Saccharomyces cerevisiae S288C: one gene and its partner. The protein of the gene in region 2 interacts with the protein of the main gene of each other region in a biochemical or structural test. Each region holds a gene or a part of one and is shown on either strand. Other genes may lie near its edges.

Evidence for each region. Proteins that work in one complex are often made in the same cells at the same time.
Region 1: the proteins of HTB2 (region 2) and CHZ1 are reported together in a solved structure, tested with the Saccharomyces cerevisiae proteins (one study listed by BioGRID).

Annotation. Positions count from the first base shown.
Region 1 is NC_001137.3:211,550-215,878, reverse strand, and holds CHZ1 (Chz1p), read right to left. Parts: upstream 2,443-4,329; coding exon 1,981-2,442; downstream 1-1,980. Other genes in the region: FIR1 (Fir1p), read right to left, coding at 1-816; Rab family GTPase YPT31, read left to right, coding at 1,132-1,803; mRNA splicing protein SMB1, read left to right, coding at 2,702-3,292; MIG3 (Mig3p), read left to right, coding at 4,003-4,329. UniProt on the Saccharomyces cerevisiae protein: Forms a chaperone-bound H2A.Z-H2B complex that acts as a source for SWR1 complex-dependent H2A to H2A.Z histone replacement in chromatin.
Region 2 is NC_001134.8:233,594-239,078, reverse strand, and holds HTB2 (histone H2B), read right to left. Parts: upstream 2,588-5,485; coding exon 2,192-2,587; downstream 1-2,191. Other genes in the region: alpha,alpha-trehalase NTH2, read left to right, coding at 1-138; ECM15 (Ecm15p), read left to right, coding at 1,612-1,926; HTA2 (histone H2A), read left to right, coding at 3,287-3,685; UTP20 (Utp20p), read right to left, coding at 3,962-5,485. UniProt on the Saccharomyces cerevisiae protein: Core component of nucleosome. Nucleosomes wrap and compact DNA into chromatin, limiting DNA accessibility to the cellular machineries which require DNA as a template.

The sequences.
Region 1 (4,329 bases), on a different chromosome or scaffold from region 2:
TGAGGTGTTACCTTCTTGAAACTGGCTATAGCCATCCCCATCGTAAACCAAGCTACTCCTCTTTTTATCCTTGTTTTGCGGAGATAAGTAGGGCGGCAGAGATATTTCTAATGGAACTGGTAAATGATATCTGTTCAATGGCGATTCAGGAGTGAGATATAAATTCTTTTCGGGAGTTAAGGGAGGAGGCCTGTCAAATGATAAATTCAGCGGAGATACTTGGCTAATATTACTAGTATTCTCATTAATACTGGTCTCAACCTCGGTTGCACGATATGTGTTCATTGTATCCACAATGATCGACTGTAATGATTTTGATCTAGAATGGTTTGGTTCTTTTCCACTACTACTTGTGTTGGACCTAACATCAGAACGAGTTTTACGGTGCCTGCTTTCACATTTTTTTCTCCTGTTATGATGAAACTTCCAAACTTCTTTAGGGACATCGACCAGTATTTTAGAGTGCATGTCGACTAAATGACCATGGCTATTCATAAGTAATGATGAAGTAGACATTCTTCTTTCGGTTTCATTTCCACTCTTGGGGAATACAATTTTCAGTGGGGAGTCCTGTGATATTTCATTTGGATCTGGAATGGAAAATCGAACCTGCGATTGTGTATGCTCATGGGGTTTCTTGTTCTTGCTCGATCTCTGTCGCGGTATAGCAACACTCTCTATATTATTAGTTCTATTAATGGCTAGTAAGTTTTCGCGTGGGCACAACACATCACGGCATTGATCATGGTCCATCTCATGTTGTATCGATAATGTACTGCACACTTTGCTCTTGACAGGTGTAACAGGGAGGCTCATAATCGGAAAAAAAGCTTCAGATCTATCCCAGCGCAATCTAATTGCACTAATTAGGTAGTAGTCTTGCTGTAAGTATGTTGTATTGTTGTTCCTAGGCGTCAATTCTACTGTTGTTATGTTTGGGCTCGTTTGTTGTTTGTTTACCATTTTCCAATGCGGAATATCACAGGCCGCTGCGGTGTGCGGGTGCTAAATTAGAGAAAGAGGGAAACTCAAAACTTTTCAAGAAAGAAACGAATAACAATTTGACCTTTATTACAAGGCACTTTGTTTAGGCCAGCAAAGGGATTCTGACGGCGTCTGGGGATTTCAACAATGAGCAGCGAGGACTACGGGTATGATTACGACCTACTATTTAAAATTGTACTGATCGGTGATTCCGGGGTAGGGAAATCCAATCTATTGTCAAGATTTACGAAGAACGAATTCAATATGGATTCAAAGTCTACAATTGGGGTTGAGTTTGCCACCAGAACTTTGGAAATTGATGGCAAGAGGATCAAGGCGCAGATTTGGGATACTGCGGGCCAGGAACGTTACAGAGCCATTACTTCTGCTTATTATAGAGGAGCTGTAGGTGCCTTGATCGTTTACGATATCAGTAAATCAAGCTCATATGAAAATTGTAATCATTGGTTATCAGAATTAAGAGAAAATGCAGATGACAACGTCGCAGTGGGGCTTATCGGTAACAAGTCTGATTTGGCCCATTTACGTGCTGTACCTACGGAGGAGTCCAAGACTTTTGCACAGGAAAATCAGTTATTATTCACAGAAACAAGTGCTTTGAACAGTGAAAACGTGGATAAGGCTTTTGAAGAGTTAATCAATACCATCTATCAAAAGGTCAGCAAGCATCAAATGGACCTTGGTGACTCCAGTGCCAACGGGAATGCCAATGGTGCGTCCGCTCCTAATGGACCAACGATTAGTCTGACACCAACACCAAACGAAAACAAAAAGGCAAATGGAAATAACTGTTGTTAAGAGATATTTTGCAGCAGTTGCGCACTTGCATGTGAATGACTCTTCTCCCCTTTAATTCTGTGCTATATTTTTACAATTTTCTGCTGACATATAGTTTATATACATATAGAACGCATATAGGAAATTGAAGTAAACAGAATACACAAGTAGAGGCCGGTATGTACGACATTTTGCTTACTACTCTTTAAAATCATCGTCTTCTTCGTCTTCATCGTCTTCTTCTTTTTCACCATATCCTACATCATCTTTAGAGCCTGTGCTAGGTTCCTTCTTGTCTAATTCTTCTGCAGTCTTTTTATAGTCAATTACTTTGCCGCGTGTTCTTCTTCCGGATGTGATGATATTAGAGGTATCAATTTCTGCCAAATCGTCCTCTTCTTCTTCTCCCTCATTTCCCATCAATGCGTCTAACTTGGCATCGTCCATATCAGATTCAGAATCTTCAACAGTACCATTATTTTCGCTCTTCGTCAAACCATTTTTAGCCTTAGTCTCCTCTTTTGCTACTTCAGCGTCATAATCGTCATAGTTTCTTCTTCTTCTTCTCTTTGGCTTAGGTTCCACAGACTTTTCGGATTTATTATGACTTGATTCCTTTTGGCTTTCTAATTCACGCTTTTCCTTTGCTTCGTCAGACATTATTTCTCTCTTTCCTTCCATGTATTGAATTTTACTTACCAGGTGTGTTCCCCAATTAACCACCCACCGAGCTTCCTTATTTCTCCATGTTCTTGTTTTTCTCACGATAATGTGGGAAAAAATTCAAAATAAAAATTATGAAAATAAAAAATGAAATTTAAAGAAGCCTATGCTAGTTAGAAATGAACAAGACAGGGAAAAAAGTAGAAGGGGTAACAGAACCATCCGTATAACAGGTTTCCAGTAAAGTAAATAACTAATGAGCAAAATACAGGTGGCACATAGCAGCCGACTAGCCAACCTTATTGATTATAAGCTGAGGGTTCTCACTCAAGATGGCCGCGTTTACATCGGGCAATTGATGGCATTTGATAAACATATGAATTTAGTGTTGAATGAGTGTATAGAAGAGAGGGTACCCAAAACTCAACTAGATAAATTAAGACCGAGAAAAGATTCAAAAGATGGAACCACTTTGAACATCAAGGTAGAAAAAAGAGTGTTGGGACTGACTATACTAAGAGGAGAACAGATCTTATCCACAGTGGTGGAGGATAAGCCGCTACTATCCAAGAAGGAAAGACTAGTGAGAGATAAAAAGGAAAAGAAACAAGCGCAAAAGCAGACGAAACTAAGAAAAGAGAAAGAGAAAAAGCCGGGAAAGATCGCTAAACCTAACACGGCCAATGCGAAGCATACTAGTAGCAATTCTAGGGAGATTGCCCAACCATCGTCGAGCAGATACAATGGTGGCAACGATAATATCGGCGCAAATAGGTCGAGGTTTAATAATGAAGCGCCCCCTCAAACAAGGAAGTTTCAGCCCCCACCAGGTTTTAAAAGAAAATAAGGTTGATGTAGTGTAGTCTAATATAGTTTCCGTATACTTTTTTTGTGTACGCATGTGTGTTAATAGGGAAATTCATAATTAACTTAAGGAAGCATTTTTTTACTATTTTTTCATTACCTAAACATAATTTTAATTTTAATCCCTGTGTGGGATTTTAGGGTGTACGAGATATGTAAGTTATGAGCATATTTTTCCTTAGTTGACGAATAACCTTTAAGTCCTAGGAGGTTCAATATGCAATTGCATGCTATTATGCAACTCAATTGCTCAAGGGGCTATTCAGGTTTACATAATACGGATGAAAAAGATAAAGATCTCGGAAAAACTGAAAGGCACTCTTCGGAAAAACCTCTTTTATGGGGGGTGTTCTGGGGCAGAAACCAAAACGGCGGAACGCGTCCGGAAAAACATACATAGACCACACCGTAGAAATTACTTCCTTGGAGACCCCACCAAAAAATCCTTCACTAATTTTTCCGTGTATAAATGATTTAGCTCCCTCATACTGTTCTTCAATCAGTAATACTTGGAAGGCAAAGCAGTTCCAGTTTTTTTTTGTTGCTTCATTATTTTTCTTCTTTTTTTCCTTAATCCTAGTAGATAAAGTTTAAAAACAGAGACCCTTTCTTGCCATGAGTCGGTGTGCTTCATAGTATTTCCTTTTGCTCTTAGTAGGTGCACATCGGCGATCCTTTTCTTAAATTCCATATATGAATTACCTGCGAGATAGATTTCCTCCGGATAATGACCAAAGACCCTTTAGATGTGAAATTTGTTCACGAGGTTTCCACAGACTTGAACATAAAAAAAGGCACGGAAGAACGCACACTGGCGAGAAGCCTCACAAATGTACCGTTCAGGGCTGTCCGAAAAGCTTCAGCCGAAGCGATGAACTAAAAAGACATTTGAGGACACATACTAAAGGCGTCCAAAGGCGCAGAATAAAATCCAAGGGCTCGCGAAAAACCGTTGTGAATACTGCTACCGCCGCCCCTACCACCTTCAATGAAAACACTGGTGTTTCGCTCACGGGGATA
Region 2 (5,485 bases):
GGTTGGGTGAACACAAGTTATTTGCTCGGATTGAAATATATGAATAATCATGCAAGAAGGGCTCTCGCTGCTTGTAGTCCACCATTGCCATTTTTCAATAGTTTGAAACCCTCTGAGAAAAAATTGTATTACCTATAATATTGACGAACATATGTAAATAAGATATATGTTATATTCTTCTTTCTATCAATAACCATGAGATTGTGCCTCAGTAATATTTGAGACGATTTAGAGTAAGGTCAAATATTATTATTAATCAAGTTGTGTAAAGGCTCATTTGTGAAGGTTAGAATAGTAATCGATGATTTTCAAGTAAAAGTGTTTGAAGGGCATTTCAGTAACATCTTCAAACTAGGAGTTTGTTGAGACAAAAAAGTCTGATTTTCATAAGATCATAACTTACGCTTTGAAGATCGTTATGAGTACCTTGTAGCTTGCCAGATCTTCTTGCTTATTCTTAAGCTCTTGGGTAGTACTGTATAAGACTGCTTGACATCGGGAACACTATCATTACCGTGTGATAGAATTCTCGTACCAAGCCGGTTCACCTTTGCGTGGTCTAGTGCATAGGAAGAATGACTAATAGAAAGCTTTCATTTCTATTAGTGTCTTAAATGCGAAGAAGGTATGGGAATCTATTACATACATGAAGAATATAGGATCTGTATATCGTCGTCACCGACGTAAGGTTTTTTTGTCAATTCTCGGTGAACAATTTTTTGCAAGAAATATATTGATACTTCTTGTTGAAATATTTTTCTTTTTCGGAAAACAAAAACATAAAATAATTATTTAAGAAAAAAAATTAATTAATAAATTTAAATAGAAAATCTTTTTTACTTAATAATAATTAAATAAATAAGTCACATGATTTATGTAGGATCAATTTGCTCAAGATTAATTTATTATTATTGATATTAGTAGGTGCCAGTTGAATAGCTATATTTTCAGTCTGTTTGAACGTTCTTTTTTTCATTTTCTGCTGAAAGCAAGTACTCCTACTTTTATTACTTTACATGTTATCGGAGGCCTGCACAGACACTTGTATCCTATACTATCAAGGTAAATATGATTGATTGATCCTCTTGGGAAATGGGATTTTAAGTTTTGTTAGCATTCTGGTTTGCCAACCTGTTGGTAAAGCACTATTTTTCAAGCTTTTGCAACGAGATTTGTCTCTTTGATTTTTTATTTATGATTTCTAACTTTTTACTTTTAGTTAAACTATTAAAGAATAATTTTCGCAAGGTACATAGCGATTTAAGTAGTTCAGAAAAGAAATTATTTAAAAATTACTCGCTCTCTTATTTGAAATGAAGATGGTTTTCAGACAAACTCCTACACAAGCTTGTTACTGGCTTTCAGTCCGAAAACAGCTCCAAACCCTTTAATAAAACCTTTCGTTTCTTTTACTTTTTATTCGAATTATATAGCTCTTTGACATTCCTTTTTTAGTATGATTCAAGCTCCCCTCTTTTCCACCCCGTGAAAAACAGAATATCATTAACCGGGATTCACTGACATCGTCAAAAGGAGAGATCAAGATATTCAGTTTTTGTCATTGCCGTCGTGATCATTAACTATAAAGCACATAAACTACAAGTTTAGAAAATGCCCAAGATCTTTTGTTTAGCGGACGTGTGTATGGTCCCTATTGGCACCGACTCTGCTAGTATTTCTGATTTTGTTGCACTCATTGAAAAAAAAATCAGAGAAAGCCCATTAAAGAGCACTTTACACAGTGCAGGAACAACAATTGAAGGGCCTTGGGATGATGTGATGGGTTTGATTGGCGAAATCCATGAATACGGTCATGAGAAAGGATATGTTAGAGTACACACTGATATTCGTGTTGGGACTAGAACTGATAAGCACCAAACTGCTCAAGATAAGATCGATGTTGTTTTAAAAAAAATTTCTCAATGAATGCTCGTGTAGTGAACCTAAATAGGGTATATCTTTAAGGAGAGTTTAAGAAACAATTTAATAATAACTGTTTGCAAAATATCTTTCCCAATTTTTTTTGTTTATAAAGTTATATATATACATTTATACAACTCCCTTCGGAGGCTGATAGACTAGACCCTTCCAATCATATCTGGACAAGTAACAGAACCCTAATGTTACAATATATAAAAAATGCCACTAATAAAAAGAAAACATGACTAAATCACAATACCTAGTGAGTGACTTAGGCTTGAGTAGAGGAGGAGTATTTGGTAACAGCCCTAGTACCTTCGGAGACGGCATGTTTAGCCAATTCACCAGGTAAGATCAATCTAACGGCTGTTTGGATTTCTCTAGCAGAAATAGTGGATTTCTTGTTATAAGCGGCCAATTTAGAAGCTTCAGTAGCAATTCTTTCAAAGATATCGTTAACGAAAGAGTTCAAAATAGACATAGACTTCTGGGAAATACCAGTGTCTGGGTGAGTTTGCTTCAAAACTTTGTAAATATAAGAGGAATAGGTCTCCTTTCTAACCTTAGATCTCTTCTTACCATCGACGGAGGTTGATGTTTTCTTGGCAGCTGGCTTCTTTTCAGCTGGAGCTTTGGAAGCTGGTTTCTTTTCGGCGGCAGAGGACATTAGTTGTAGAGTAAGTTGTTGTTGGTTTGAGTATAGAGCAATCAGAAAAAATTAACAAGAAGAAAGTAAAATTTTTAAAAAGCTAAATAAATAAACAAAACCAGTCAGCAAAAAAATTTTACACATATACCATGATATATAATAATATATTTAAAAACCTGTGTTATGCTCAAATAACGGTTACTGATCCAAAACCTTATATATGACGGCAAGTGTCTCACTGTTGCATTACGCGATGTTTCTTTTCTTTGTTCTTGTAAGCGCGATTTTACCAGAACTAGATGGCGCTCGTGATCCTGAAAACGGGGAGAAATTTTGAGAACACCGCTTTATTAGGCGAAGCGGTGGGCACAGCTCACGCGTAAGGTGTTCCCATTATTTCTCAAAGTGATGCGAATTTCAGAGAACACATTAACCTGGGGGCCATAAACGCGACGTGCTACCATTTTCGTTACGTATACTTAGGCCAGAGATTACAACATGACTACTAATATCAAACATAACTCTATATATAAGGGATGAAGATGTATGCTTTCTTAGAATTTCAAACATGTTCCGTTAAAGTTTTACTTTTCGATTTCAATTTCGACTGCATGATGCTTTTCTTAGGTAGTTTTTTGTTATTAAATAGTATCATAAATTCTTGTCTTTTTACATAAGAATTAGGAAAGTACAGAACAAGAGCAAATTTAATATATAATGTCCGGTGGTAAAGGTGGTAAAGCTGGTTCAGCTGCTAAAGCTTCTCAATCTAGATCTGCTAAAGCTGGTTTAACATTCCCAGTTGGTAGAGTGCACAGATTGCTAAGAAGAGGTAACTACGCCCAGAGAATTGGTTCTGGTGCTCCAGTCTATCTAACTGCTGTCTTAGAATATTTGGCTGCTGAAATTTTAGAATTGGCTGGTAATGCTGCTAGAGATAACAAAAAAACCAGAATTATTCCAAGACATTTACAATTGGCCATCAGAAATGATGATGAATTGAACAAGCTATTGGGTAATGTTACCATCGCCCAAGGTGGTGTTTTGCCAAACATTCACCAAAACTTGTTGCCAAAGAAGTCTGCCAAGACTGCCAAAGCTTCTCAAGAACTGTAAGAACTGAGTTGAAAAGAAACAAAGCAAATCAAACATTCTTGTCATTTGGGGTTTTAAAGTAGGTCATATGAGGAAGACTGGTATGTCTTTTATCTAACAGTTTTATAAATAGCGTCGTTTTATTAAAGACAGTGTATAGTATTACTATTAATAAAGAAAATAAAAAACGTATCAAGTTTACGGTTTTACTTACGGAAATGCTAACGTACTACAGCTTTGACGTTATAACTTGGATTTTTTATTCATTAGTATACATGTTATAAAGATATATTACAGCTAGGCTCTCTTTCTTTTGTTACGTCTTTGATAATACCCATTTTCATCCTTTTCATGCTTTCTCTTTTCCCTCGATCTCGCATGCTTTCTCAACTTTTTATCAGCAGAAATTTGTGGAGCGTTAACAGCCAGAATTGCCCTTTTAGATCTCCTTTCCTTTCTTCTTTCTAATACGGTCTGTTTGACAGCAGTGTATATTTTTGTAAAATCGGATACTTGCAATTTGTCTTCCAGTATTTTTAAACATTCGTTTGAAAGAGTGCGTAGTTCTTCCTGTTCTTCATCAACTGCTCTTGAGTAATATGTTTCTAAATAACCATATAGCGGCAATAATATCTTTTCCCCTTCTGCAATTACTTCGTCTTCGTCCAGAACTTGAACTAATAAGGCCAATAACTGAATACACGCCTTCTTCGACATAAAAGAATCCATACGATGTTCATCCGACCTGATAATACCACCAATTCGAGTTACCATATAATCAATGGCGGTAGTATATTTTAGATCCTCTCCAGTTTGTTTTGATACATCCATTATGAACGGCGTGCGTTGCTCCTTCCATAGGATACTGATATTAACTAATGTTTTTATTGAGACGTTCGCAAGATTCTCCGGAATAGAAGGCGCACCTAATTGGTGAAGAATTCTTGTTGCAATGGTTTGAATTTCCAGATTGGTTAATGATATCTCCAGCTTATCCTTATTGGCTATGAGTTGATGAACAAGATTTGCCGCCGATTGACGGACCCATGAGTGCGGATACAAGAGACATGTGATAATACCATCCCATATGTCTTTGAAACCATGTTTATAAACGCTCTCTGTTGCTTCCATATAAGATGAGAACGTATTTAAAGCTGAGTATACCAAATCCCACTGATGTTCTGATCCTACCGACGTATCGCTCAAAATGTACCTTATACGCTTGATGGCAAGCTCGTCTAGCTCAATAGTATGTTCAAACCCAATACTTTTCAAGTAGACCTTATAAGTTCTCAACCCAAGATTTAAAAAGGATGCATTATCAACCTGTTTTAGCCAAGCGGCTATATATTTTTCAACAATTTCAAGGTCCTTATTTTCAAGCTTTGGAAGCATGGTGGAAATCAATACTGAAGCCATCTCACGGCATCTTGGCGCATCATCATTAAAAGAAACATTAACTAGCGCCAGAAAGAAGGAAGATGATAATTTGGATAGTAAAGCAGGATTAGCCTTTGTAATAATCAAATTGATCAATTCCATTACGGACTGACGGCCGGACTCGGTAGGATACTGTAAATTGTCGACCATAAATTTGAACTGCTTTTCTAAACGACCCTTACTTTGGTCATATTCCATTAAAAATTGGTAGTAAACGCTCCTGGATACATCCCTAATTTCTTTTGAGTGGTTTGTGACCATGATTTCCCTAGTAGTATCCGCAATGTCATAGAGTTCTGGAAGCATGATATGTTTTGAAACAAGTGCTTTTAGGAAATTAAAAGCAAGGCCTTGTCTGCTTGGTTCATTTAAATCTGGTAA